4 linked regions of the Lepisosteus oculatus genome follow. The protein of the gene in region 4 binds, or shares a complex with, the protein of the main gene of each other region. Links are inferred from orthologs where the notes say so. Each region holds a gene or a part of one and is shown on either strand. Other genes may lie near its edges.

Evidence for each region.
Region 1: the proteins of thoc6 (region 4) and thoc5 are in contact, whole or in part, in a cryo-EM structure (PDB 7APK), measured with the Homo sapiens proteins. The link is inferred for Lepisosteus oculatus from reciprocal best matches to the Homo sapiens genes THOC6 and THOC5. Residues at the interface, in NP_001334633.1 of Homo sapiens: Val5, Pro6, Ala8, Val9, Pro10, Leu11, Gly12, Gln13, Val16, Phe17, Leu20, Gln21, Leu23, His24, Met25, Thr26, Phe28, Tyr45, Tyr80, Asp94, Glu125, Val126, Pro127, Glu128, Asn130, Gly146, Tyr170, His172, Glu188, Trp222; in NP_001002877.1 of Homo sapiens: Pro406, Gly407, Asp538, Ile539, Val540, Asp541, Ala542, Gly543, Leu544, Ser575, Ile576, Ser593, Asp596, Arg599, Glu602, Gly603, Asn606, Val607, Tyr609, Arg660, Phe662, Arg663, Gly664, Pro665, Ser666, Arg667.
Region 2: the proteins of thoc6 (region 4) and thoc7 are in contact, whole or in part, in a cryo-EM structure (PDB 7APK), measured with the Homo sapiens proteins. The link is inferred for Lepisosteus oculatus from reciprocal best matches to the Homo sapiens genes THOC6 and THOC7. Residues at the interface, in NP_001334633.1 of Homo sapiens: Asp229, Trp232, His245, Thr252, Gln268, Asp269, Gln284, Leu285, Ser286; in NP_079351.2 of Homo sapiens: Lys110, Arg113, Lys114, Gln117, Glu118, Ala121, Leu122, Val125.
Region 3: thoc6 (region 4) and alyref share a complex: the UniProt entries of both Homo sapiens proteins name them as parts of the transcription/export (TREX) complex. The link is inferred for Lepisosteus oculatus from reciprocal best matches to the Homo sapiens genes THOC6 and ALYREF.

The regions. Positions count from the first base shown.
Region 1 is NC_090717.1:14,292,242-14,300,184, forward strand, and holds the start of thoc5 (THO complex subunit 5 homolog), read right to left. Parts: upstream 3,007-7,943; 5' UTR 2,952-3,006; exon of another isoform or gene 2,868-2,951; intron 2,637-2,867; exon of another isoform or gene 2,613-2,636; intron 1,627-2,612; 5' UTR 1,603-1,626; coding exon 1,510-1,602; intron 850-1,509; coding exon 706-849; intron 348-705; coding exon 234-347; intron 1-233. Other genes in the region: acyl-CoA dehydrogenase family member 11-like, read left to right, coding at 4,261-4,512, 5,519-5,751, 6,545-6,644, 7,337-7,454. UniProt on the Homo sapiens protein: Component of the THO subcomplex of the TREX complex which is thought to couple mRNA transcription, processing and nuclear export, and which specifically associates with spliced mRNA and not with unspliced pre-mRNA.
Region 2 is NC_090699.1:48,898,262-48,905,668, reverse strand, and holds the start of thoc7 (THO complex subunit 7 homolog), read left to right. Parts: upstream 1-4,402; 5' UTR 4,403-4,606; coding exon 4,607-4,625; intron 4,626-4,803; coding exon 4,804-4,921; intron 4,922-6,204; coding exon 6,205-6,332; intron 6,333-7,407. UniProt on the Homo sapiens protein: Component of the THO subcomplex of the TREX complex which is thought to couple mRNA transcription, processing and nuclear export, and which specifically associates with spliced mRNA and not with unspliced pre-mRNA.
Region 3 is NC_090704.1:47,020,580-47,027,503, forward strand, and holds the start of alyref (THO complex subunit 4), read left to right. Parts: upstream 1-3,915; 5' UTR 3,916-4,040; coding exon 4,041-4,292; intron 4,293-5,988; coding exon 5,989-6,129; intron 6,130-6,735; coding exon 6,736-6,883; intron 6,884-6,924. Other genes in the region: anapc11 (anaphase-promoting complex subunit 11), read right to left, coding at 159-279. UniProt on the Homo sapiens protein: Functions as an mRNA export adapter; component of the transcription/export (TREX) complex which is thought to couple mRNA transcription, processing and nuclear export, and specifically associates with spliced mRNA and not with unspliced pre-mRNA.
Region 4 is NC_090699.1:5,870,968-5,878,673, reverse strand, and holds the start of thoc6 (THO complex subunit 6 homolog), read right to left. Parts: upstream 3,013-7,706; 5' UTR 2,869-3,012; coding exon 2,854-2,868; intron 735-2,853; coding exon 643-734; intron 1-642. Other genes in the region: srrm2 (serine/arginine repetitive matrix protein 2), read right to left, coding at 5,030-5,078, 5,616-5,726, 7,181-7,321, 7,608-7,706. UniProt on the Homo sapiens protein: Component of the THO subcomplex of the TREX complex which is thought to couple mRNA transcription, processing and nuclear export, and which specifically associates with spliced mRNA and not with unspliced pre-mRNA.

The sequences.
Region 1 (7,943 bases), on a different chromosome or scaffold from region 4:
GATGACCAAGTCAATCAAGCAATGTCTTAGGGAAAATAAATGTTCTTGGCAACCTAGGAAAAGAATTGTTTGCACTTCCGTTAGCTTATTAATCAATCAAGTTTAACACTTTCTGATTTTTTTTACTTGACCTCCTATTAAGTTCAAGTGATCATATCTTCCAATCAATTTGAGTGACTGCGGTCAGGAAAAGCCCTGTCACCCCCAAGAACAGGAACGTAAGGCAGCCGCACCTCGTGGGTCTGATCCCTGGCTTTCTTCAGCCTCATGTGAGCCAGCCGGTTCAGCTTCTTCAGGGTCATGAAGTGGATGCACCCCATCATGCGCTTCTCTTCAATCTCTGCCGACTGCAAGACACAGGAGGAAAAGAAACAAATAGAAAATCAGCTCTTGTGGCTGTCAACAGCAGCTCCTGCCACTTCCTGCCTGGACGCATTGCGTAAGAGGGAACAGAGTAGGGAGGCCCAAAGTGTGATGCTTGGAAGCTGCAATTCTGAAGACTTTGCTTTCCACCACAATACCCCAGCATTGCAGAATTCAGCCCCGGCCAACTCCTGCTGCCACGCAGGTGGATCAATTAAGGCAGCAGCTCCCAGCCCTCTCCTGGGTGCCCACTGTCTCTTCTGGGGTTTGCAACACTCCTGCACTTCATCACAGACGAATCGCTCAAAGTGTCAGAGTGTGAGATGTCGCACTATGGCTCACATTGTCCTTGCTGCCACTGGTCTTCAGCTCGTTGATCTCAGCCATGAGTTTGGCCAGGTCCTGACAGGTCTGCTTGTACAGAGTGTAGTCCTGGTTGGTATCCCTGCTCTCCAGCTCCACCTCCTCATTGTACACTCTCACGTCCTGCAGCACAGCAAAATAACCAGCGATTAGGGCTCACGTGGAGAGTCGTAGGTTCAGGCCCCTGTGGCAGAAACCCCCCCCGGAAAAAGTAAGCAAGGCGCAACCTGATTACTCCAGTTCACTCAGCTGTTGTAAATGGGACTGAGTGGTTCAAGGCCGCTGACCCCATAAGAGACCATGGTAGGTCATGCGATTTATGGCTCACACCCACAATCACAGCCCAGCCTGCCGGCTGAGCCCTTCAGGAGGCACAGAGGGTGATTTGTACCACCGATAGTGCTCTTATGATCACAACTGTAAGTAATGCTTCAAAATAAAGACCCCAGCTGAAGCAGGAAGGACACACTAATGGGCAGGCACTCCTGGGATCAAAATGGCAGACTACATGCTACAGTGGGACACCACACTGTTGACCTAGTACAGGAAAGTCATATTGTAGCAAGATGCTCATTATAGCAGGGTTGCCTTTCTTGCACTGTAGCTGTAAAATCTATGATCAGACAATCTCAATCAATCCGCTGGTGTGTTCTCAGTCTCAGTGCCAAGTCCTTCTCTGACTGCTGATACAGCCCAGCCTGCTGGCCCAGAAGGCAGACTGCCATCTACTGCATCATGAGTGCCACTGCCATTTGATTCGACAGTTCCAGTAGCGACCCTCACCTGGTCCCCCTCTCCCCTATTGCGTTTTGATTCTGGGGTACCCTCATTGCGGATCACTTTGGGCTTCCTCTTCTTCAGGGTGTCGGCCGACATTTGCAGGCGATTCTAGGAGCGCTCCTGGTGAGAGGGTAGAAGAGGGGGTCAGCAAGGTATATGTAATGGACTGGCCGTAAGTCCCAGCTGAAGTAAGATGACCACAAAACTGAAAGCTCAGGCTTTATCTTACGAGGAACCTACACACACCTGCTACAGGACACTGCTGCGGTCACCTGCAGGGGAGGTCCTGACTACTTGATCATTAAAGAATCAATGGGACTGTTCAGAAGAGTAATGAAGGCTTCGCTCTTAATTTAACTGAACTCATTTCTCTCCCTCTAGTAGCAATGGGGCTACAAGCACATACTGTAGCGTAACTGGCTACTACACTTCAAAGGTCACAAAGTGGATCCCCATCTATAGCAAAATGGTTTCAATTCCTTTGAGTTAAATAAAACTATCCAATAAGTAATTTTTTGGCCTGAGATTTTTTAATTACTGACTTTAACAATTTAGTTAATGGCATGTATTAAGTCTTAAGCAGCCTGTTATTGTAAGACCTAAGGAATGTCTACAGAAATCCGATCCTTATTGGCTACAGTTACTTATCCTTCTTTAAGACACGTTAACAGCATGCTTAGCTAATTCAATTCACCAATTCCAGGCAAGTTCTTACAGGAAGAGCAGATGGAATTGTGCTGTTAAAACGCAAAGACGGCAGAAAGAGGTACACAGGAGGTCTCAAGCTGCACATATAAAAATCAACAGTGAGGACGATATAAGAGCAAGTGCCCTGTATCTTTCACTAGTTTAACACATTCCCAGTTGGTTTCAGAGTCCTGAACGTGCGAACTAGTGACCATTGTGAACATAGTTATAAAGAAAAAGTACAAATGGATTTAACAAGGACTTCAAAATATATATATTAGAAACGAGTTAAGCTTCGGTAGCTCACAGTACTGACATGTACAAACAACGGGACATCAAAGTAAAAATAAAAGGAGTATCGTTATAACTGATTTTGTTAATACTGCTAAAATCGCATCCACGACAGTTCACATAATCACCCGAGATGATCACCGTCTTGGCTTTCTGTTTTCAGGAACAACGCACATAACAACTCGCAAACATAAATTAATCTGCAAGTCGTTTTATAGATTTTATCTCCTGGGCAGGGAGTGTAAACAAGGTACAAAGGCTCTTCCTTAGCAGCAGCGATCAATTAAAATGCTTCGACTCACAAGTTACAATACGCGTACAGAAGAAAAAGCCGTTTGCTTATCGCAGACTTCAAACAGCCATACATCAATGCACCCACCAACCTTATTCACAAATTCGGCAACGAAAGGCTCTGTATTTTTTAAACAACTAAAAATAACATTTCATTCACTAAACACAACACTTACCCTAAACTCCCCCCCAAAAAAACATGGAGGACTTTAACTTTGACCTCTGACCCGGATGGGGATCCCGGGGCAGCGCAGTTACCTTTCCGGCCGAGAGGGGGCGGAAGAGAGAGATCAACAACATCAAGGCGTAGGTAGAGTTTACTTGAAAGGTAATGTGTGGTAAGTTTATTAACAACAGAATTTATACACGTGCTGTCAGTCTCATTCCCTTTTAGGAACACATTAGTAATAAAGTGAAGATAACTTTGCAATCGGAGTAAACCGAACTTTTAATCTACTTCTTGTATTCCTCTATAGTTCAAAGTACAGTTAGGGTTTAAATATGTTTTGCTCATTATATTTTAAATAATGCAGGGAACTTGAAATGGAGGCGAATAAACTGTCGTGAATTATCTTTTAGAAAAAGCACACGTAAATTTCATTTAATTATAGACCAACGTGCCGAGCTTGATAATGTAGAAAGAATGTGTTTTTTTTCTTACATACGCTGGCGAAATAATTAAAAATGATTGTAAATCTCAAGACAGCCAATAATAACATTATTATCCTTCGTTTTTGGATAGCCACTGATCCCTATTAAGCCCCAGGTCCGTGAAGTTGCCTCCCCACACACACGCACAAACGATGAAACCCACCGCATTCCTTAAAGAACGCAAGGAGAATCTTGTTGTTTTTTTCTGATTTATAAAATGAAAGAGCTACGAAGTATTGAGATGTACTAGTTAAAGGCTTTTTTAAAGAATATGCAGTTGCTCGCTAATGTTCGCTTTTTAAGGCTACACCTGCAACTCTTGAGGGTATGATATTGAAGACAAATTAAATTTTTCTGTTCACACAAACGCACAGAAGATACTGGTGTTAATGCAAAATCTACCGCTCCCCAACCGGGCAAACAGAAACACAATTGCAGAATTGTTACTCTCGCACCAGTAACAGCGCTTGAACTCGGCAGACGGGGTCACTGGAGGTCAAAGTCACCGTGCATGGTCACTTGATCACCCGAAAAACAAGGCGCTATATTTTGGGAACGAAAGCAGCACAAATGCAGCACTAATGAATGTTTCATCGATGTTTCATCGTTTGTGCTGTTTGTTGGGAGGGCAACTTAACGGAGCTGAAAAAGCTGAGTCTATCCTGCTGTAGTGACATGCAATAAGCACTCGTAAATAAACATCAGCACCCTTTACTGTGAATTAACGAAGACGGATGACAACAGGTTCTCAGAAGACAGCTCAGTATGCTTCCTCACATTCACTTCACAAGCAGGGGCAAGCGACTGGCAGGTCGTTTGTGCTGCAGGTGCCTGATGGCCGCGCGTGTCCTGAGGCTGGCCCTGGCTGGGCGGCCAGCGGCAGGGGCCTGGAGCCGCAGGGCGAGCAGAGGGAGCTCGCACCTCACCGCTCCGCGGGGCCGCACAGAGGCTCCGCAGGAGGAGGAGCGGCCTCACTTCTCCAGGTCCTCCATCGGGAGCTTCTTCCAGGAGAGGCCCCAGCTCAGGAACCCCTTTCTGCAGGACGCTCTGCTCCAGGGCTACCTGAGAAGACACCTCCCTGCTCAGGTGGGCCTGGTTTTACTTCTCCTTGACCACTTTATAGGCATAGACAGGAGAAAACCCTTATCCACAGACTTTCAAGACACCAGTCGACTGGTACTTCTGCTGCCTGTCTGACCTCATACACAGCCTGGCTCGAAACGTCTTTTCTCAAAACCTTGATGAGCTGTTAACATTCTGCTCCTCAAAGAAGTCGGTGGCAACGTCATTTTATTGCTGCTTAATAGATACCTGTACGTATTCTGGTATGTGCACTCACCTTATTTGACTTTTAAGACTTCATTGTGAGGTGACAAATTAGATATAGTGCAAAACGAAATCTGATCAGATGTCGTTAAAAATGTAACGAAGAAATAATTTTTGGAAGTAGACCCATATAGGAATGCAGTGTTATTGTTTTCCATGCCACTCGTGGTCTGTGAAACTACTCCAATCTCAATATGGAAGCTGGTTTGGATTAGCTTATGATATGCTTATGTTAAAACTGTCATGCTTGCTCCCACCGGAGCACGACAGGACGCGCTAGGATCAACACAGCAACCGACGGAGCCTCAACAAGACCTGTCAATCAGGCGATTGCCGTGACTACGAGCTCTGGTTAAAAATCTGTTCCACCCGTCTGTAGTTAATGACCACACTGCCCTCACTGGGATCTGTCAATATTAGACCAGTCTCTCTGCGCTCAGTCTTAGAGTTTCAGTTATTAGTTTTGGCATTCTCAGCTCTGCTTATACTTTCAGGTTTTTGGCATCTCTTGACTTTAATTTTGCTTTCGGATTCCCCTTATGCTTTGCCTCTTTATCTCTCAGCTACAACCTTACGTTCTAGACTGTTTATTTCTGCCTGCATGCTCATTATGCCACCCTGCTCTGCCTGCTTGCTGTCCACGCCAGCCTGCCTGCTCTGCCTGCTTTCGGGTTCTCCTGATGCCCCTGGGACACTACTTTCACTCAGGTAGGAATAGCGGCATTACAAGAACAGAATGGGCATGTGTAGTGTATGTGCGTTCCAGGCTGTGAGCGCGGTCGGGGCAGATCTGGAGCGGTTTGGGGAACGGATCTGCAGTGAAGTGGACGCTCTGGGCCGGCAGTGTGAGGAGACCCCCCCCCGCCTGCAACACTGTGATGCCTGGGGTCGGCGAGTTGATCGCATCCTCACCTGCCCCGCCTGGGGCCGCATGAAGGAGATCTCGGCCCAGGAGGGGCTGGTGGCTGCTGGCTACGAGAGGACTTTCCGTGACTGGAGGTAGGGTGACACACACATCTGGTGGTTTCTTGTGCCTGAGTTTTGGAATGGGCATTTGTTAGTTCTCCTCATATGGAGACTCCTAGCACAGTAGAAGGAAAGAAAATATGCAATCACAAATTCTAGTGTCAGGATCTCCTTCTCTGTTCCTGCTGTAAGTTCACAGCATAAACAGCAGGATCCGTTGCAACCCTGAACTGGATGACACAGTTAGCAAATAATAACCCTGTGATTTACAGTATGATCTTGTATTAATCATATGAAACAAAATTACACAGGTAATTAAATGCTTCTATCTTAATGCTAAGATTGTTAGGAATAAAATACAAGACATTGAAGCAACTCCATTGCTAATATCTCTTGTAATTTTGCATGCAATTAGAATGCAATTGGCATCACTGAAACAGCTAACGGAGACTGATGTTGATGAATATAACACTAGTGGATACATATCATTCTGAAGAGAACAGTGGAAAATTACTCACCACAGATTATACACCACAAAATATTTGTGGACCTCACGGAAACATTGCTTCTCGGAAATCATACAGTGCAGTGTCCAGATGTGTTACTACAAGGAAGTGAATTTAAAACTAAGAACAGGATGCAGTTTTTGACTGAGCAGTTTGTGGGAGTCTGGAACAAGTTATCCAGCATGTTATGAAAGATGATACTGAGCAGTCTTTCACAAAACAGCATTTTCAAGTAGACGAATTGAAGGCCTAAAATGTATATCCTGTATTACAAAAGTAGTGTCAAATTAGGTGGATGATACTGGTGTATATTTCCTTAGCCGTGTTTACCAGATGTCCAAACTATACCTCTGCTCTCCCTCTGCTGGACTCTACACCTGTCCTCTGGCTATGACTGATGGGGCAGCTAAAGTCATTGAGGTCAGTGAACTGCATCCTGTATCGTTTACGCTGAGGTGCCGACATCTTTGCAAACCCACAGGGGCTGCACCCCTTATAAAAAAGGTGACATAGCAAGTTCACATATAGTAATTCTGTATCAAGGTAATAATAATAATTTTTCTGGACACTGCACTCAAAGCACTTTACAGGTAATAGGGATCCCCTCCACCACCAGTGTGCAGCCCCACCTGGATGATGTGACAGCAGCCATAGTGCACCAGTACACTCCCCACACACCAGCTGTCAGTGCGGAGGAGAGCAGAGTGATGCAGCCAGTTCAGAGATGGGGACTATTAGGAGACCATGGCCAGGGGAGAACTTTGGCCAGGACACTGGGGTTAACACCTCTACTCTTTACAAGAAATACCTTGGGATTTTTAATGACCACAGAGAGTCAGGATCTCGGTTTTACATTTAATCCGAAATACGGCACCTTTTATTACAGTATAGTTGCCCCCCTATATTAGGGATTTAAGACCAACACAGACAGCAGGGTGAGCGCCCCCTACTGGCCAACACTGACACCTCTTCCAGCAGCAACCTCAGCTTTCCCAGGCGTCTCCCATCCAGGTACTGATCAGGCTCACACCTGCTGAGCTCCAGCAGTTGCCAGTTGTGAGTTGCAGGGTGGTATCGCTGCTGCGGACCAATCTGCTGCGTTTATCCTCCAGTCCCTGGGGAAGTCTGGACCCCTGGACAAAGCCTTCCAGCGGCTCACCTCTCGCGACCCTCAGCAGTTCTGGACCTCTGGCCAGTGGATGACAGAGCGGAAGGGGGGCTCTGACGTGGGTAAGGACCACTGACGCACTGTGCTTGACAGCTGCTGCACAGCTGGATGCTGACTGTGGTTTCTAAGCTGCTTTGCCTCCGGAGATGTACAGGTGGTCCAACGACGGCAATGTTCCTCCTGCAGTTACAGAGTAACAGAGATGGGCTTACCTGTGACGCATAGAAGATATTTGGCAATGTCATCATAGCGCCTTTTAAAGGGAAGATTCTGAAATGAAAATATGTTGGGGAATCCTTTCATTTTAGTTTTAAACAGATAAGCCAGGAACACAAACCACATTTATATTACTTACAGTGAAACTTCACTGAAAAATGCGGCGTTCATAATTTGCAAGACGTATCTTGCTCAAGGCTGCAACTGCTGTGTCCCATCTGGGATCTGGACATGTGACCTTCCAGCCCAGAGTATTGACCTCACCAAGAAGGCTAGTTGTAAGAGTAGGATTTAATTTGCCTTAGAGAATTTCTCTCTGCATCATGTATTACATT
Region 2 (7,407 bases), about 43 Mb from region 4:
CAGCTCAATGGTTAGATTACAAGCATTACCATCACTCATTTTTAAAATACCTTTCTTCTTCCTTTTCTGCTGGTAAACTTATCAATAACTTCCATCAAAATATGAGGACACTGTAAAACTGTTCTAAATTGCTAACAATGTACATACATTTAGTTTTCCTCCTTTCACCATTGATTGGAGGCAATTATTCACAAGTTTCATCAAATAAAAAGAACAGCTCCAGAACAGCTAGAGAGTGCTAACAGCTAGAGACTGTGTGCATACAAAGGCAAGTGTCCACATGTGTCCCTCAGGCCTAGCTGGTACATGTTCACTGCTGATGCCTTTGCTTTTCAGAACACAGAAGTTTTGTTTTACAATTTCTATATCTACATAAACATCGCAAATATTCAAAGAAATAAACTGCAGAAATCCAATTTTGTACTCTAATTCTTTGTAAGTCTGACTGCAGTTCAATTATTAGGCAGTCACAGATGATATAAAGTCTTTCAATAGAAAATGCTTTGTAATTAATTTAATCAGTGAGTTACAGACTTCTTTGTTTTTGTGCCTCAGTGCTCAGACATTTTTAAGTGGTAGGCCAAAGCGAGCAAATGTAGCCAATACATCTTTACAGTTTCTTTGTACCTAGGAGCAATAGCTAAAGTAACAGAATGTATGGATAATTAAATTACTAAACAGATCTCATGACATAGAAAATCAAATCTAGGGTGATTTCTGAATAATCCATCCACTTTCTACCCACTTCTTCAGATTCAGGGTCATGGGGAAGCTGAAGCATATTCCAGTAAGCAACGGGCTTAAGGCAGGGTACACCCTGGACAGGACACCAGTCCATCATAAAGCAGACAGACAAACACACAGACACGCAGGCATTCTTACCAGGGCCAAGTTTCCCAGAAGCCAATTAGCCCAGCAGTATTACTTTAGGCTGTGAGAGGAAACTCACAAGGACACCATGAGAACATACAAACTCCATGCAGACAGCACCCCAGGTCTGGAATCAAACCCTGGGCTCCAGCACTGCAAGGAACCAATGCTTACCATTATACCACCATTTTATCAATAAATGAAAACTGAATAATTAGCACATATGCTTTCTTGTATTGGGCCATTCCATGTCAAATAAATCAAATTCACTGAAGTTTGTGCTCACATGTGTTTAGTGTAGTGGAAGAGTGAGGTCAGGTATGTAACAAGGTGAAATTAAAGTTAATTTGGGCCTAAATATTGTGGCCCTAGGCATGTGCCTAGTCTGCTGAACCTTAACCCAGCCTTGTTTCTAAAACTAGCCAAAGACTGAAAAGCCTGATTTTTGAGATTCTCAGTAGCATTATGAAGAGATTTTGGAACTAACAATTATCATTCATTACCATAATGTTCTGATCTGCAGTTTGGTGTAGTTTGTTTGCTTTTTCAAACTGGATTTCCCTAATAAAATGTAGTTGTAAATGGTCAATTTATGATTTATTTGATATAAATGCAATCACAATTATTTCAGGGATCACATTTCAGCAGAAACACCAAAAAGTGTAAAAAATAAACCTGACAATGTCACAGAATCACTCAGAATCTTTATCACATTGTAGCCTGCTTTCGTCAACCTCAAAAGCTAAGCAAGGCTGGGCCCAGGCAGTGCTGGATAGAGCCAGGCTGTGTGAACAATAAGTGATGCTATTACACCAGTAGGCAAATGTTAAACCAATACCCCAGTGCGGTAACATTATGCTGCAGGAGGTGTATTCCGTTGGATAAGACATCACACTGAGGTCTTGAGTACTTAAGTTAAATATCCCAAACTTTGTTAATAGGATTTTTAAACTTGGTGCCCTAGTTAAAATCTGCTTTGTGCATTCACAATGTGGTCTACCTACATTTCCCCTTCAATTAAAAAGGTGAAGTAATTTTTCACCTCTTTACCTAAAATTCTCTGTTGTGAGGCTGCCAGCACAAAAATGCTTCCACATGACACACTGGTGGATGATGCACTTCAGTGCAAGAAGTGGGGCTTCTCCTATATCTGAGATCCTTTGAAATCCTTGGGAATAAAAAAGAAAGTGCAAGACAAATGCAAGCATTTAATTAACAACTGGAGCTGCGTCATTCTGTGTCAAGTCAATCAGACCTTCCCAAGTCATGATTTTAATTTCACTAATATTTGTGTAGTAGAAGACAGAGGTTGAATATTTAGACCAAATCTTTTAGCTCATGTGGACGACATGACGCAGTGGTAGGTTTGTAGAAATACCTTTTATCTGAGAAATCCAGCGTGAACAAGCAAACATAAACTATACCAAACTCACAGTACAGGGAACCTGGTTTCAATTCCTGACCTGGGGTGCTATCTGTGTGGAATTTGTATGTTCACCCCATATTCACATAGGTTACCTCTGAGTGCTCTGGTTTCCTCCCACAGTTAACAAATATACTGGTAAGTTAACTGGCTTCTGAGAAAATTTGCACTATTGGGAGTGTGTTTGTGTATGCTCTGCACTGGACTGGTGTCCTGTCCAGGGTGTATCTTGCCTTTTTCCTGCTGCTTGCCAGGATCGAATCCCCTGCGACCCTGAATTGGAAGAAGAGGTTAGAGAATGGATGAATTTAAGCATATTGATGAACATCTACTGGAACACTTTTCTTGTGAAAGAGCACAGCCATACTTACAATACATACAGTATAGCCTTGGAGAGATTTTGAATATCTAAACATTTTTGCCTTAAAAATTTAGAATACATATATCTATACATAAGCTTCTAAAATCACTTGTCTGGCTAGATACATCTTCTGTAGAACTGAAAAATAATTATAACTTCACCATTTCATGTAGCTATGATGTCCAAATGTAAAAAATATATCCAGTTGTCAGTTCCTAAATTTTAAGTCACTGTTTGGCTGAAAACTGAAAGATGAGCTCACAATCTAACAAACTAAGATGCGACAATTTAACCTTATTTGACCTTGTTACAAACCTGACTTCACACTTCCACTACACTAAAAACATGTGAACACAAACTTCAGTGAATTTGATTTATTCAACATGGAATAGCCCAATGCAGGAAAGCAGCAAGCTAGGTAGCATGGTCTTGAGAGTCAGTTTCCTTACTATAAAACCCATACGTTCTTGCTAATATTTTAAAATAAAACCTTAAGCTAATGTTTCTACTTTCTTTTGCTATTTAGATTAAGTATGTCTGCTTGAACCTTCAACAACAGGCTCATGTATTAGCATTTTTGAATTGATAAAGGGAATACTTGTATTTCTATGCCCACTTTCTATGACAGGCTGTCCCACTGAAGAGATTACATAAACCCCCGCCAAGAAATATCTGCGTTTTACATTAAAACGTTAATCATCAAGAGAAAATAATCTCCTTCTTAAAGTTTTCATAGATTATTGAAAAAACTAAGAGTTTCAGCATTGCCAAACTCATCTAAATTCTCACTAACTACGAGAACAAAGATCTACGCGGAATATAACGGAAGATAAATAATTTGTTGCAGAGCTTGTAGTAACTATTTTACCTACCACATATAATGTAGCATTTTACAAATACTGGGTAAATAAGTGCCAGCTTTTCCACTGTTTCCTTCAGCAGTTTCCAAAACTCACCGAATACTTCTAAGAGTAAAACAATCATTACTACTTTCTACGAAAAGTCGCAAAGCACGAAGAAAACAAACGATGCACATCTATAGCTTCATTCAGGACATTACAGCAAAAATCAGACCTGCAAGAAAAACTATGTTTAATCTTAAAACATAAAACATATTGCACAGTTTCAAGTTTTCAGCGTTTAACTTAATTTAACGAGGAGTATTCCGCATAAAACAACAATTCTAATTTACTGGACGATCTTACTGTGTATTGAAAAGGATTAAGAACTTGTTACTTTCAATTTCTTCCATTATTATGAACAAAGCTCCTACAAATACTCGAATAGCCACATTAAACAATCTTAGCACCGGGCTACTGGTGGTTTGTGTAAATTGCTACCTAAATTGTTTCTCATTGTCATTTAAGAAAAACAAGAACACTAGCAGACTGCAGACAGAGAAATAAACCTTATCCGTGTTTACCTGCTTCCGGGACTTTTTTAAAAAGATACAAAAGCTCCTTCGGGATGTCAGTCTGTTAAATGTAGCTAAATTTGAGCGGTGAGAATGGCGAATAAAGAGCGAACACAGTGCTCACTGACTGTGGAGGTCTTTACCCGGGGCTTCCATGTCTGTTTACCAGGCTGCATTCTGGGAGACATACGTCACTCTTTCCGCACGCTTTGCACGTCGGCGCTTAGCGAGGCTTCAGCACCTCCAAGAGGCCTACGCAACTGATGCCATTGTGGCTCTGAGCAAGCCTCGGCGTTGGCATACGAAAATACAGGAAACTTGAGCCAACATGGCAGACAAACAAGAAGTATTTACGGAAACGACAAACGATTTTAACCGCAAAGCGTTTTGGTCTTTCCAACCCCTTGACAAAGCGACGCAATCGGTCTCACAGGCGGAGACGGGTGCATACTGCTTATTTATCTCTTTTGTGAATTGGGTTGGTATAGCTTTTGCAGTCAATAAAGTTTCATTTGAAAACAAGTAAATTGTCGAAGTGATGGGTGCTGTTACTGATGGTAAGTTACTATGAGTACTGAATGTTTTATAATTCAATGTTCACTATTGAACACACGTGTTTTTTTTTAACTTTTTTGTAGCAATGGCATTACAGGCAATTGACTTAGGAATTCGCTTTTCGCGTCGCCTGCCTCTGTGGCTTTGGATAGTTAATCTGTTTTGTTTTCTCCGTTCCAGACGAGGTTATCCGGAAACGACTTCTGATTGACGGAGATGGAGCTGGTGACGATCGTCGCATCAATGTACTATTGAAAAGCTTTACCAAGTGGTGCAATTCTGGAGCCCCGGAGGAAGGGTAGCTAACTCGTTGACTCTAATACAGATCCATATACCAGTAGTTTATCTTCTTCAGAAACAAACACGTGGGGAACTGCTCAGAAGCCAACCCCGAGAGCTCTGTCATGGGTTTAAAACTGACCGTAGAGCTGTGTTGTTTTAGCTAGTAAAATTCCTAATGTCTTGATCGTACCGAATTCATATATCTTTAGCGTGTATATCTGTTGCTGTGTCCAGCACAAGGTACATCCCCATTCTACCTTCGTAGCGGTATCTTGTCAGATTAATAAGTCTACTATATGTCTTGGTTCTTTATCTGTATACAGGTTGTGGAAATACGTTTTTACATAATGTTTTGATGGTATTTCCTGGTGTTTGCTGTCTTATACTGTATCTTTCTTCCTGGGTTGCACTGTGAGGTTGCATTTCAGCACATATCTATGTGGATTCTCCTCAGCACAACACAGCTGTGAAGTAGTTGTTTATTTGTTCATTTTACTTGTGCTAGGAGTTCCCAGTCCTGGTCCTAGAGGGTCAATTCTATGAGTTTTCAGTCCAGCTGTGCTCTTAACTTCAGTCGTATCATTATTTGACTGGATTGGACCCGTTTTACAGCAGCTCTCCAGGAGCTGGTACTTTAAAGAGACCAGACACTCGTGCAAGACAGGGACTGGAAACCACCTGACATTGCAGCTGCAAGTGACATCAGGACGCTAACAGCTGATGCCATGCCTATGTGGTGAAAATGGGACAGTTGTTTCAACCGTGTAATTTGTGCACATAGTTGCATTTCCTTTTCTTCTTTTTTGAAAAATGCCTCAAATGAAAGCAATACAGTCTACTCAGTGATTAAATTTACATAAAAGAGCTGCACTTGTAGTGCATAAGACAATACAGAACCCCTAGATACTTTCTTCAGATTCATCAAAAACTGAAAACTCCAAATGGAGAGGTTTAATCATGGCATTTTCTTTATATTGATTAAACCCCTTGTTTTAAAGCATTTTCCCCTAAAATAGCACAATGTATTTGCTTACTATATGTGCCTGTTGCATGCGGTTAGGAAGGTTTTGTTCACATTAAAGGTGAAATGTCTGAAATGTGTGGCACGACAGTGCAATTTATTCTGGAGAAACAAGCACCTTGTGAACTGTTGGTAGAATGAGTCAGTGGTTTCACAAAAGGTCACTTCATTGTCTAGATCACATACTGGCACTTCAGTTGAAGCAGGAAGCAGGCTGGCAACATATCCTATTGTTTTCAAGGTGCACACAGGAAACAGTGAAATGTCTTTCTTTTTAGGTACACCCAGTTTCAGAGGATGCTAGGTACACTGGCACAGTGTGAATTCTCCATGGGGAAGACCCTGCTGGTTTATGATATGAACCTCCGGGAGATGGAAAACTATGAAAAAATATACACGGATATAGGTAATCTGAATCTGTCCTATTCTAGTCCTTTACACCTTGTGGCTGTTTGTTTCAGCTAGCATGCTTATGCTTAAATTTTTAGGCCACAGTTGTTTTTTTTCGTTGTGTGCAGCAGTTAGCTTTCTCAGTTCATTTTTGTATTTAAGTAGCTAATCTTTTATCCAATGTCTTATGCTACATGTACATATAAGTAAAGTTGTCTCATAAAAGGCAGAATGAAATACAGAATTAAATCACTTTTTATATATGCAGGCGCAAACGTAATGAAAATTGGCCTCCTTTTCTTTATAAAAGAGACCACGCATAGTTATGCGTCATCTGTATCTGTGGTCTCTCAGTCTTGTTCTTGAAAACGTTAATTCATCAAGTTTTGTAGATAACCATAAACATCTGGATGAAGACTTGAGAAACAATTGAACTGAGAGACTGTGGCAGGCATTTTGTTAAATTAAGCAATTTAGAGATCACCTGGAAGCTGCAACAAATATCTGGATATACACCGGCCCTCAAGGACCAGATATGGTTAATTGCACAAATTACTTGCTTAACCTTTAGAAATGGTGATTTATACCTTCACTTTAATATGGATAGGAACTCTCAAAGACTACACTTGATAGAGATGTGTAAGTTAAAGGGGAACTGCAGTGCTATTTTTATGTTTTGGGTTTAGAAAGAATCAGCATTAAAGAGTACATTTCAAACCATAAGATAAGTAAAACGTAAACAGTAACTTGTAAAACCTCCAATTTACGTCACAAAATATACGAGATTTCCAGGTATGCATAGTGCCATATTCTGCAATTTAGAACAAGCTAGCAAAATGTCTGGTGACATAGTACGGCCCTTTTATGTTGTAAACAAGCTTGCTTGTTTTTTTAATCCAATAGGAATATTGACTCTTGACTTTGAGATCCCATAGGAACAATTTTGCGATGAAATGTCTGCAGCACAATCTGTACTTATTCACTCATACATCGCAGTAGATTAGTCATTACGGTGGCTAGTGAGCAGGAAGGGAGGGAGCTCTTGCTCTCTCCCATGCTGAGACCAGAGATTTTCGACAACACGACGACTC
Region 3 (6,924 bases), on a different chromosome or scaffold from region 4:
AGAGCGCCCCCTGCTGCTCAGGCTCAAGCACACTTCCCTGCGCTTGACGCGAACGCGGGACGTGGGCCCACAATCCACTGCTCCACAGTCCTGGCCATCCCCCTCCCCTTACAGAGCCTTGAATTCGCACACCCCCCCTCCCCGCCGGCCGGACTCACAGTCAGGGCAGCAGCCGTTGAAGGACATCCTGCAGATGCCACAGTTCTCGTCATTGGCGACCCACAGCCAGGAGGCGACGCCATTCCACTGCTTTATCTTCACCTTCAGCCCCCGCTCCATGGCGCTCTCTGCAGGACACAAGGCACCACTACAGCTGGGTGGGCACTACAGCTCAACAGCTGTCCTGCTGCAGAAGCAGATGGCTCCACAGGCTGCTGCACTGTGCAGGTTAGCTGGGCTGCTCTGCTCCCTCACACAGCAGAGCTTTAAAGAGCTGCACTACTACAAATTGCACTGCCCATGAACCAGAAAGGCAAGATCACATTAATTTTGTGCCAATCTATCCCTGGAAGATCCAGAGACGAGAGCCTGCAGCTCCTAACACCTGTAGTGGATCTGCAGGCTGTGCAGTGAAAGTCTCCGGTTTCCCTGCTGCTTCAGTGCAGGTGGGGCAGCCGACTGTAAAGCTCCATCCACAGGTCTCGCTTGTGAGCTCAAATCTCAGCACATGCTAACGACTAGCACCTCACCAGAAGGATAGGAACGACGCTGTGACAAAGGCTAAACAGCACAAAATAAAGCTTACCCAGTTAATCTAATTAGACAGCACGTACTGTAGCTAGGATATATGTGACCTGGCACAGGAAGGGATTTTAAAGCTGAGTTTACAATGATAGACTTTAAAGCATTTCCTCTGCAGCCTACGCCTGTAGAAAGTATATTAAATTCAGCATCGGCTTGTGAACGGGACATACTGTGAATACGCCTCACTCTTCACCCCTTCATCAGAAACCGCGGCGTTAAATCTGCCCTGCGGACACAATAACGAAACACTAACATTAATGACTAATTAACAGACGTTACTCTAAACGTCTGACCGATGTTGTTGTCACGTGTCTCAAGAAATGGCCGTTTGGCTTCTGTCAAAGTGAGATCGAGCTCAGTTGCAGAAGCTGCCCGGAGAACCGAAGCGGGACCTGGCTCCGGCCCTGAGCTCCTTTCCGACCTCGGGGGCGACGGAGCCCCTCAGCCCGCTCTCCTAGTGCAGAAGCGCCGTCCACTTCTGTCCCTGCGAACGGATGAACTGGTCGGGGCGACACATTATTATTTAGACCGCTCCGTCTGCTACACAGTGTATCTTAACTGTCCAATAACACAAGAAACTTCACTGTTCAGACTTGACTATGTTACGCACATCATCTCAGGCAAAAGCGTCCGCTAGGCAGCTATATCAAATGAGAGAATAGTTAAAAACTGAACACCGCACAGTACCTGCACGACTCCCGTAACCCCTCTCAATTGATCAGGCCTGAACAGACCGCAACTCTTTCCGTTGATCCTCAACTCTGCGATCGTCTAACGCGACTTTGACCACATTTAAAAAGCTTGTCGTCGGAATACCGCCGCCTGGAGGCCTGGCGTGACGTTTACAGTGAAACACGAGACAGCGGCAGGAGTGGAAGCTAATTTGAAGTCCAATTGGAAGTAAAACAGAGACCAGCAGCCACTGCTAGTAGAGTAGTAGTAGTGGAGGAGTTTATATTCGTGGTGGTCATTCAGGACATACACAGTACAACAGACAACACCACCTACCTAGATGTACACCTACCACACAATGCAGGCAGTACATCACACACATAATAAATAATAACAACAGGAACAATAAATATGTTATGGAGAACAATAAATATGTAGTAGTGGAAAAAAACATGGTAGACCATGCAGAAAGTGCAGATAAGTGCATTGAGTCTGAGGCCCTGCAGTGAGCTGCTGTTGAGGATGCACACTGCAGTGGGATAGAAGCTGTTCCTGAGTCTAGTGGTCCTTGCTTTAGCAGCGGCACCGCTGGCCAGAGCGCAGGGGCCGGGATGGGTGGGATCCTGGATGAGGGATTGGGCTTCACTGTGACAGCAGACGGTGTGAATCCCACCGATTGATGGTCAGTCACATCCTGTGATACCCTGTGCCGTTGCCACAAGCCTCTGTAGTGGGTCTCTGTGATGCGCAGACTTCTCCCACCTCCTCTTCTTTCCTGAAGGGATGGTGGGAGTGTGGAACACGCTGATGCCCTGGTTTCTTAAAAAAAACAAACTGGATCAATTAACTACCAGACGCACTAGATGGGCTCCTCCACAGCTTGTTACTGTTCTTACAGTCTAACTGGCCTTTGTGCCCTTTTGTAGCGACATACACACAACACATCACAACACAGGACGCCACATCACCACACACAACACACACACAATACATCACAACACACACAACACACCGCATCACCACACATCACAACACAGGAACACACATCACAACACAGGACACCACATCACCACACACACAACACACACAATACAAGACACCGTATCACCACACATCACAACACAGGACAACACACACAACACAGAGCAACACTCGACAACATATCACAACACAGGACAACACATCACCACACATCATAACACATCTCAACACAGGACAACACATCGCCACACATCACAACACATCACAACACAGGTCAACAGGCGAACAAGACACAGAGAGAAGATACAGCTCTTGGGATCACACCACAGAGCACAGATTACAAAACAAATCCTTATCATGTGAAACAGCGACATGTATGAAATACTGAGCTTTTGTTGGACATTTGAAAAGAGATAGAATTGAGTAAATATAATAACTTATTTTAAAGAGTCCTAATTGATGTTTTTGAGTAAACATAAGTCCGTTATGATGCCCGTGCTCAAAGTGAGGACGAAGCAGGCTGAGTTTTCCACTGTGGAGTCTCAATATTGTATTTTCTGAACTGCGGAGGAATGTGGCAGGCAGCAGCAGGAGTGTGCTGTGTGCCCCAGCAGAGTGATCTGCAGCTTGTTGCTCTCTGGACTAGAGAGCATTCTGCCTAGAGCAGATACTGATGGGCGCCAGGGGGACCGAGACGCTCTGACGAAATATTCCACATCTCCTAAGCATGAATAGGGTCAAACGCCTCTCAGTCACTTAATTGTGTCAATGTACTGAGTTTGATGGCTGTGTTTGGAGTAATTGCCATGTCTGTGTTCTTTTAACTTCATTTGCTGCTTGCGGATTATTCCAGTGTACCTTATTATTGTATCCTCCACTGCAGCAGTCCTGTCTCTGTCAGCCTCCCTCACTCTCAGCCCTCTCTCGCACTAATAATAATAATAATAATTAATAATATAGTGCTTTTCTGGACACTCCACTCAAAGCACTTAAGAGGTAATGGGGACTCCCCTCCACCAGCACCAGTGTGCAGCCCCACCTGGATGATGCGACGGCAGCCATAGTGCTCCAGAACGCTCACCACACACCAGCTCTCAGTGGGGAGGAGAACAGTGTAATGAGGCCAATTCACAGATGGGGATTATTAGGGGGCCATGATTGGTAAGGGCCAATGGGAAATTTGGCCAGGACGCCGGGGTTACACCCCTACTCTTTTCAAGAAATGCCCTTGGATTTTTAATGACCACAGAGAGTCAGGACCTCGGTTTTACATCTCGTCCAAAGTATGTGTTGTATTGCATTGCAACCACCTGTGAACACTGCTAATATTGTCTTGTTTTTTTTAAATATGTCCGTTATGGACTGGAGCGCTGCCGGTCTCTAACAGGGAATACAGCACATACAGTACAGACTCCGAAAACTACAGCTCCCAGCAGGCTAAGCCATTCCACTGAGTGCGCAGGCGTCAACCCCGCCCTGCATGACGTCTGTGTCCGACGCCAGCCGCAGCGTCTTAAAAGGCGGCCATTGTGTTTTCTCCTCACCACTTCGTGCTCGGGTATCAGCGGGGGCGAGTTGCAGAGTAGGGATAGTGCGTGCGAGTTCGTTTGTCTCTATTGATAGGCTTAGTTCGGCGACTCGAAATGGTCGATAAGATGGATATGTCCTTGGACGACATCATCAAACAGAACCGGCAGCAGCGGGGCGGTGGCGGGGCCCGTGGCGGCAGGGGAGGCCGGGGCCGGGGAGCGCCCGGCGGGGGCCGAGGCGCCGGGGCCGGCCGGCTCGGTGGCGGAGGCGGCGGCGGCGGCTTTGGGGGTCGCGGCGGAGCAGGCCCCGTGCGGACCCGACAGAGCCTGAGCAGAGGCAGAAGCAGACCCACGCCGTACAGCAGGGTAGGAGAAAAGAAAGAGATGGGGAGAGAGAAAGAGGAAAAATGGAAAAGCGTGGCGCCCGAAAATGCCCGGGTCTGCGGAGCTTGTGCGTTTAATATCCTAACGTGCTAATAGAGCTGTTACTCACTGGAGTGTCTCTGGAGAAACAAAAATGGCTATATTTATTGCTAGATGTCCAATTTACCCGATTCACTTTCCTTTTTAAGGAAGAAAATAATTAAAATGCCTAATGTTTTCCTTTCTCCCCCAACCTCTTTAACCTTTCGTGTTTAACCTAGTTGAAAAGCGGGCGTTATCAGGAGACATGTTTGGTTTTTTTTTTTCGGGCTGCTATGCCGCCCGGGAGCGGAGAGCTCAAGTCTAAATTTGTTCGAGTGTCTAGAAAGAGCAAAACGCCATTTTTAACGGCCACGAAGACGCGGTGCAGCCGCCGGCGAGGACGGGAGGCCGGCGGCGGCGGAGGAGGGAGCGGAGCGCTGCGGAATGAATGAGCCGGCTTTGTGTGCGCCCGGCCGGGCTGTCCGGCCAGGAGGCGGCCCCCCGGAGCTCCGGGCTCCAGCCCCCCGCCGAGCAGCGCTGGCAGAGGCGGGGGAGGCTGTGGAAGGACACTGATCGGCCGGAGTTAGCCGCCGACTACACTGCGGTGGCCGTGCACCCGCAAGGGGTCTCCGCTTAGCTGATCAAGACAAAATGGCGCAGCTACAAAATGGACGCTCTCTGCAGGCAGGGCTCCGAGGCCTCGGACCGCAGCTGCAGCTGCCCTGCGGCGACTCTTCCACACGGGGACTCTGTTCCACTAGAGAGCCGCCTTTCTGCAGAAACACGATCGCGGGGGATCCACGGACTTGATCCTGCGGCGGGGCGGCGGACTCTCCGGGCCTCAGGACCGCAGGCGGAGGACAGGCTCGGCGAGGGGGGTGGAGAGGCGCCGCTGCACGGATTGGCCCCCTTTTCAACACCTGCGGCTGGAGTCTGAGGGACCCTCGGCCGGGGCGGCGGCGGGCTGGGACCTGCCCCCGGCGGGCGGGTTACCGGGACACTCGGTTTCAGAGGCGGGAGGTCGGATTGGCAAGGGGGCAGTGAAGGGGTAGGACCCGGCGCTGAGCCGACGGCGAGCACCTCCGGTGTGCTGGTGCCTTTTCCGGCCTTGTTCCCTTTTAAAGCTGTGATCAGTGCGCACCTGCACTGTAACCTTCCCGTTTCTCCAGGGTAGCGCAGTTTCAGCCATTGCTCCTGAGTCTAGTGTAGCTGCCTCGTTAGGTTTTAAACAGCATTGAATGCATTTCTTGAGCAGAATGTTCATTTTACCCACAAGGCTCTGTTGGGGGGGGTTATGTGGCTTCTCTTTTGGGGGGTGCACCTAGTGTTTGACCTTTGGGGGGGGTTCACAGTGATACTTTTATTTGGATCAGCTCCCGGAGGCAAGTTGTCTGCGGCCAGCTGGTGCTCCTGTCTGGTCTTGGGGGCTTTCCTGGTGGGGCAGGCGGAACCAGCCCAGATTGCTGCCTGACCGGGCTCCCCTCCTGGTGTGGGCCACGGTGGTGCGACTGGGTTCCTCTGGCTGCTGTTCCTCTCGGGAGCCGGCGTTAGCTGTGGGGTGTCTGCTGGCCTTCCTCTCGGAGAGCGGGGTCCTGGCGGCCTGGCGCAGCGTGCCGACTGGGAAGTCAGCAGGTGCGTTCTGTTTGCTCTCTTGCAGCCCAAGCAGCTCCCGGACAAGTGGCAGCACGACCTGTTCGACAGTGGCTTCGGCGCGGGCGGCGGCGGCGCCGGCGTGGAGACCGGAGGCAAGCTCCTCGTCTCCAACCTGGACTTCGGGGTCTCGGATGCAGATATCCAGGTGAGTGCTGACTCTGCGCGGGGGTGTCCTGGTTTGGACTGCGTGTAGCTCGCGTAGTGGCTGCATGTGGCTCTGGGATAACTGCAGTTCCTAAACTGGGTCTCGCCTCTCATTCAGGAGAAACACAGCACTGTAGCCCTTTCACTCAACAGCTCCGAGGCAGGGGTGTGCAGTCCTGGTCCTGGAGGGTTTGTTCAGAGCCCCCCAACCTCAAGGGGTCACAGAAGTTACACTGGTCCTATTGTGCCAGTGATTGAACTGTGCTGGGTTCATAACCTGCAGTTGCTGAGGTGACCCTTTTCCAAGGTGAAGCACATTTCCATGAGGGGGGGGTCCAGGCTCTCACCCGCAGGCTTCGGTGTGATTTCCAGAGGCAGGTGTTCCTGTTGCAGTGAGAGTGCTAGCATACAGATTAAGACACCTGCTCCTAGCCTTTTGGTTTGCTTTTGAGAAGCTAGATCGGTGCCTTTTCCTGTGTCTATCATTAGCCTACAGCTGTTGTGCCCATGGGGTAGCAGGGTGGAGTTGAGCCTGCGCGCCTCTCGTGTGGTGGGTGGGTTGGGCTTGTTGGCGAGCGCACAGACCTGATGGTGCCCTGTGTTCCAGGAGCTGTTCGCGGAGTTTGGCACGCTGAAGAAGGCTGCGGTGCATTATGACCGGTCGGGTCGCAGCCTGGGCACGGCGGACGTGCACTTCGAGAGGAAGGCCGATGCGCTCAAGGCCATGAAGCAGTATAATGGCGTTCCACTGGATGGTGAGTCTGTCCCCTGTTGTCCTCATTTTGGAATTAGGATT
Region 4 (7,706 bases):
CATGGGGGGTTAGCGAGAGGCGCAGAGACTAGGAGACACAGTGGGAGCAGGTCAGGTTAGTGAGAGGAGCAGAGACTAGGAGACACAGTGGGAGCAGGTCAGGTTAGTGAGAGGCGCAGAGACTAGGAGACACAGTGGGAGCAGGTCAGGTTAGCGAGAGGCGCAGAGACTAGGAGACACAGCAGGAGAGAGAGGGGTTAGCGAGAGAGGAGCAGAGACTAGGAGACACAGTGGGAGCGGGACAGGTTAGTGAGAGGCGCAGAGACTAGGAGACACAGTGGGAGCAGGTCAGGTTAGTGAGAGGCGCAGAGACTAGGAGACACAGTGGGCGCAGGTCAGGTTAGTGAGAGGCGCAGAGACTAGGAGACAGTGGGAGCAGGTCAGGTATTGAGAGGCGCAGAGACTAGGAGACACAGCGGGAGTGGGTCAGGTTAGCGAGAGAGGAACAGAGACTAGGAGACACAGCGGGAGCGAGAGGGGTTTGTGAGAGAGGAGCAGAGACTAGGAGACACAGTGGGAGCGAGAGGGGTTTGTGAGAGAGGAGCAGAGACTAGGAGACACAGTGGGAGCAGGTCAGGTTAGTGAGAGGAGCAGAGACTAGGAGACAGCGGGAGCAGAGGGCACCGCAGTTCCCTGTCTCACCTGAAGATGGCGATCTCGCCGTAGTTGTTTCCAGCCGCGAGGAACCGACTGCAAGGCGAGAAGCTCTGAGAGAAGACGGACATGTGCAGGAGCTGCAACACAACAACACAACCCTGGGTCACAGCACAGCACAATGACAGTGTAACACAACACAGCAACACAGCCCTGTGTCACAACACTGCTCAAAAACACAGTGTGACACAACACAGCACAATGACAGTGTAACACAACACAGCAACACAGCCCTGTGTCACAACACTGCTCAAAAACACAGTGTGATGCAACACAGCACAATGACAGTGTAACACAACACAGCAACACAGCCCTCTGTCACAACACTGCTCAAAAACACCCCTGTGTAACAGCACCATTACAATGTAACTCGGCACATCAACACAACCCTGTATCACAACACAGCTGAAAGACACAGTGTGATCCAACAGAACCCTGTATCACAACACAGCTGAAAGACACGGTGTGACGCAACACAACAACACAACCCTGTGTCACAGCACAGCACAATGACAGTGTAACTCAACACATCAACACAACCCTGTGTCACAACAATGCACAATGACACAGTATAACACCAAAACATCACACAACATTGTGACAATATAATAAAGATAAGAATAATCTGCTTCGAGAAGGCCCTGTCATCTGCAGACTGTGGGAACAGACAGTGAGCCCCTCTCAATAACAGACAAGCTTGAGGACAGGAGACCAGAGTTAGACGAGCAAATGGTCTGGTTGTGAGGTGGCGAGCAGGAAAATAAGTCGGACAGCTACTGAGGTGCCAAGCCATGCAGAGCCTCAAAGGTGAGCATGGGGATTTTGAGATGGACACGAAACCCGATAGGAAGCCAGTGCAGGGACTCCAGGACAGGAGTAATGGGATCACTTGCACTAGACCTGGACAGGATCTGGCCTGTCGAATTCTGAACAGACTGGAGTCTGTTCAGTGTGGGTTTAGATACCCCAGCAAGGAAGGCGTTGCAGTGATCAATTTGAAAGAAACATAAAAAAAAGTCCTGGCCAAGTTTTCAGCAACAGTTATCAGGAACATTGGACCGTAGCCTGGCAATACTTGGTGGAAGAATGAGATTTGTTTTACAATATGTTGCACGTGTGGGTCAAACGCCAAGCCTGGATCAAATATCACCACCACGTTCTCCGGTTTAGACTGAAATTCCAGCGCACAAATTCAAGGGCCTTCCTGCAGTTAGGGTCACTGCACTGGCTGCACAGTACACTGTTGAAGGGAGGTGCAGAGAAGCATGACTACAGGTCTGTCACTGTTTCAATTAAGAAAATCCAGGATGTTATGTCAGAGATGCAATTAGACAGTACAGAGACAGTCACTTCAGTGCCAGGTTTATCATGGATACAGATTTATGCATCATCGGCGTACCAGTGATTGTTTACACCGTGTGATCTCAATAGCTGACCAAGTGGGAACAGGTAAATGCTGAAGAGGAGGGGACCCAGTATCGAGCCCTGAGGAACACCAGACTTCACAAACCCAAATTCAAGACTGAAACCAGCAAAAGAGGTAGTGTAATAGGGGAGTTTGACTTCAGCAGTCTGTTTGACCTTAGCAGTAAAAGTCAGTAAGAGCCCAGGCTGGAGTGAAGACCAGGAGACACAGTGTTCCTCCTGGATCAGGACTGAAATAAAGTCAGGAAGAGCACAGGAGTGCTCTGGTCTAATCTGACTATTAACGTTGTGGACCACAGTAAGAAAAGAGGAAAGAGAAGGGCGCTACACCGTGGACACGTTCAGAGGGGAGCTGCCACACTGTGGGTTATAAAACACGGGACACTCTCCCGTGGGGTTTGTCACGACCCTAGAAGTCGACCACCCTCCATCAACGGGGCTGTGTGTTGGTGTTTTGGGGAGAGGCTGTGGATTTATGTCCGGAGACACGGGTGGAAAACAGAAACTCGGATAAAACACGGCACCTCCAGCTCGGAGCCCCCGGCTGCTGTCGCGCCGTTACTTCTGAACACAAAGGCTCAGACAGTAACCCCTGTTTGTGTAAAAGCCCCAGAGACCGGATTACATACTGGAAATATTTTTTTCTAGAACTGAAAATGTCCTGTGCTACATCCCCCGGGGCTTTTACACAAAGGCACCCCCGAAATCCTGCGACACACGCAACGTGAGAGCGCGCTTCATACACACAGAGACACGAAAAGGACGGGCCATCACCTCGACCGGTCCCATGTTTCCTCTTGTTTTAGACGCGGCGTCCAATCTGGCGAGAAAAGTGAAACTTGCACACAAGCCAGACTCGTCAGCCCCAGGTCTGCACAGCCCAACACTCTCCCTCTCGGAAAGGGACACGGGCGGCGCAGGGCAGTGACGTCACAGGACCCCCCCCCCCGCTTTCGTGGCATGACGGGAATTGTAGTTTCACGGCTTTGAAACGCGACCGTTGTTCCCTTTCCGCTAACAAAAAAAAACACGCATGCATGCACAGGATAAGAAACTACTCTCCCTGTAGCTGCAAGAGATTGGCACAACCCTTGTTGCGGTTGGCGCAGTCACATTTTTTGAACAGACAGGATATAGGTGCATGAATTCATTTTGTTTATATAACGATATAGATGTGATCTGGTGATGTATCTTTATTTGACATTTTCCATGATACAGGATCTCCAAGATTCGTAATGCTGAGGTGATGAATCTGTAATGATCAATTGACACAAATGTTTTTGGTTATTGTCTGTCAATTTCAATACTTTTTTTTACACAAAGGGGGGTGGGAGAGTGGAAAAAGCTACCCAGTTATATTGTTGAAGCCAATATCCTGGCTTCTCTCGAGACATAGTTCAGATCCTGGGATTAATAAACTACAAAATGTTCTCCTCTCTATCTCTTTAGTTGCTGTTGTTTTTAAAAACATACATCCATTAACATAACTGATTCGTATGCTCTGTAGATATACATACTGTACAAACCCATTTGTGCTTCTGAACCACTGAATCTAAACCACCGGACCAGCTGTCCTCCCGGTGTAACAAGACTGGACCAGAACCACCGGACCAGCTGTCCTCCCACTGTAACAAGACTGGACCAGAACCACCGGACCAGCTGTCCTTCTGGTCTAACAAGACTGGACCAGAACCACTGGACCAGCTGTCCTCCTGGTCTAAAAAGACTGGACCTGAACCACTGGACCAGCTGTCCTCCTGGTCTAAAAAGACTGGACCTGAACCACTGGACCAGCTGTCCTCCTGGTGTAACAAGACTGGACCAGAACCACTGGACTAGCTGTCCTCCCACTGTAAAAAGACGGGTCCAAAACCGGACCAGCTGTCCTTCCACTGTAACAAGACTGGACCTGAACCACTGGACCAGCTGTCCTCCTGGACTAGAAGACTGGACCTGAACCACCGGACCAGCGGTCCTTCCACTGTAACAAGACTGGACCAGAACCACCGGACCAGCTGTCCTCCTGGTGTAACAGGACTGGACCAGAACCACCGGACCAGCTGTCCTCCTGGTGTAACAGGACTGGACCAGAACCACCGGACCAGCTGTCCTCCTGGTGTAACAAGACTGAAAACACACACACGCCAGAAACAGAAAACTCCAAAGAACTGCCGGATTTTTTTTTCTTTTTTGATTTTATTATTTCACAAAAAAAACAGCTTTTAAAGAATGTTTTGTATTCACAAACAGTGTCATCTTGCCCTGCGCCCCCCCTCCCCCCCAAAAATAATTCACAGATCAAGACCCAGTACGGCGTGGGCACGCACATCCGAAGCCCGCGTCAACGCCGCCTGCACACCGCGCTCTCTCCACCTTCCCCAGAACAAACAAAACGAAAAGGGAACCATTTCCGTCCTCCAAAAACAGCACAAAAGTCACAATCGGATATCGGCCTCTCCTCCTGGTGGGTCTCTCTCTCTCTCGCTCTTCTCTTCCTTTCGTCGTCTTTCCCAAACTCCAGTGTCAGCATCTCAGTCCTCCATCTTGGAACAGTGTCCTTGTACCACTCCCCTCGCCTCCCCCCCCCCCCGAGCAACCCAGAGTGGGACGGCCCACGAGCATCTTGCAGACTAGGTCCTGGGCTGTACCACCACAGAGTTGGGGGGGGCGGGGGGGAGTTGGGAGAGGGAGTCCGGGTGTCGACACCTGCGAACAAGAAAGAAAAGGCTCTGGTCAAACCCGACAGGCCAGTCTCCCGCGCTGTCCTCCCCCCTCCTCCCCCGCTCATCTCACGGCTCGGTGAGAAGACGTGGGGACGGTGCGCCCCCTTTCCGATCGGAACGGCCCTCCTGCCAGGGGTACGACTGGCGAGAACCGGGGAAAAAAACGCTTTCCGAGTGGGACTCCGCCTGGCCAACCACAGGAATTGCTTACCTTCCCGCCCGGCACCTTATTTCCTGCGTTTCTTGCTGGGTGACCGGCTGTCTGACCTCTGACCCCTGCGGGCAGACAGGAGAGAGAGAGAGAGAGAGAGAGAGAGAGAGAGAGAGAGAGAGAGAGAGAGAGAGTCAGGGTTCATCCTGCAGACGCACACACAACAGGACAGCCCTGGCTGACAAGCACACGCTGGGGCCCGGACTCTGTCCCGCCAAGCCCGGGCTGCTTCTGTGCCTCCCCCCGGCATGACGGGAGAAGATCCGCTTGTCCAGGCGGCTGCCCCTCACACCGAGCGAGGGGTACGCTCTCCCCTACCTCCACCCCCAGCGCTAAAGGAAAGGTGCAGCTGCGGGGTTTACGGGGGCCTACGATACCACCCCCCCCTCCCCCCAGGCCAGGGGCCACAAAGGCACGCTTCTCCCACCCTGCCGGAACGGAGCGACCCCAGACGTGTCCGAGTCACCACATCCGACTGATCCGGACGCACGCAGAAACAGCCCATCGCCAGGAGGCCCCGAGCGGGCCCGGCCACAGTCCAGCGCCGGCGAGAGCGTGTTTGTGTCCCCCCCGAGGGCCCCCTGCGGGACCGGGTCGCTCACCTGTGAGGGGGGGGTGAGGACGGCGCCGGCCTGCGCTGTCGGAGCGGCGGGGAGTAGCTGGGAGAGCGGGAGTCCCGCAGGGAATCGGCCGGCTCCCTGGGCCGGGGAGGACTGGGGGAGAGAGGGAGAGAACCACCGTGAACAAATCCATATCGCGATAATTTCCCACAGTTACCCCGATAACGATAAATGGAACGAGCATTTTTCCTGAAACCCTTGAAATACGATATGATATGCTGGAAGACCCCATTTTAAATATGCGAAACTATGAAACTTAGTAAACGTCAGGCACCACAGTTTGAGAAAAATGTGTTCTCGAGGGCACAACGCATCTCTACGCATCGGGGGCTTGAACGAGTCTTTCAAACCACTGCAGCTATGGGAAGCATGTCCTTCGCTGTGCAGTGTGTAATGGCGTTCGTTATCGCGTCACGCCTGCGTGAATCTTTCGCGCATCGAGTGGCATGAGTAAACGCTCGTGTTAAGAGAGGAATCCCTTCGGCCATGAGTGCGCTTGACAGTCTCTCTCGTTTTTTGGCCATGCGCCGTATTCGTATCCCACGACATGGCTGCGTTTAAAGCGATGAAACCAGTTGCTCGTGTTACTTGTGGGCGCAGAAACGGTTCTCCCGACAAGAGCTCACATCCGACTTCTCTCTGTTCGGCATCCGGTTCGCTGAAGCCAACACACGACCTAACGATCGACACTGCATCTGTCTGAGCTACCAGCTCGTCTTCCTTCGTGCTCGAGTCCTCCCTGCCCGACGGGGGTTCAGCACGAGCGCTCCCGTCGTCTCACGCCCGGCTCGCTGCTTTGGGTTTTGAATGAAGAACGCGGGTTGGACAAGGCAGAAGCCTGTGACTGGATCTGACGACTGGGGACCGCTGATGAAAACCGCACAGTGGGGAAAGCTTTCATCCCGACATAAGCAAAATAAGGTCGGCGAGAGATTCTTAACATCGGTATCGATACGTTTTCGATATGTATTGCCCAGCCCTAGTGCCAGGCCAGCGAGAAGACGGCGGAGCTGGTCTGAGGGCACTCGGACGCTCTCTCTCCAAATGATACCGGCAGGAAACCCCCTCTTTTAACAGGCGTCGGATTGCACGGACAAAAACCCACTGAAGAGGGATTCTGTCTGAAAAACCCAACACCGGACTCTCCCCTCAGTAAGGAAGGAAAGCACAGACAATAAAAAGCAGAAAGAACTACTACACGGGACTCCAAAAATCAAGAATATCAATTGATCAAAATCAAGATATCAATATCGGGGCAGTACAAGGTCAACTGCTTACGATGGGTGGAGTATGTGCTTTGGATGTTGAAGAAAATTTTATACGGATATTAACGATACACGCAATAAAGAGCCTGTATATTTCAATAAACCGCCACAGGAACAAAGTTTCGCTCGCCGTGTGTTGATTGCAAGTATTTTTTGTCATAATTCAAAAGATGCAAAAAATGATATAGAGCACACATTTTCTCAAATGACAGTGCTCCTGGGCAGAAACACTACTGGTTCGACACTGGCAGTAACAGACACCCCCCTGCTCCTGCTCATTACCACTTCGCAGAGTCTGCAGCGGGAGAGTCCTCGCTCCCGGAGGAGGATGAGTCGGAGGAGGAGGAGGAGGAGTCGGAGGAGGAAGAGGAGGAGCCCGAGGCCTTCCCTGCCTTCTTCTGGTTGGCCGCTTCGCCCTCGGACCTGGGGGGAGGGGGGGGGGGAGGGCAGAAGTGAGACGGCAGGTATTTTCACCAGCCTTACATCATATTTTACAACACCGGGCGAGGGTCCTGAATAGCCACACATCGAGCAGAGCTGCCTGCAATATAAATTCAATCGGTTTTCAAGCTGGTAATACTTTGAATTTCGCCCAGAACTGTAGAAAAAAGAAATGGTGAAACTGCCTTCACAGCAGAGGAAAAGTAGTGCGAGACAGAAATGCACCACAGATTGAGAGAGAGAGAAATGGAAAGGACAAATTTCTCACCCTCTTTTGTCCTCTGTCTCGGAGTCAGAGCTGTCGGATGAAGAAGAGGAGGAGGAGGAGGATGACGAGGAGGAAGATGACGAAGATGATGAACTGTCC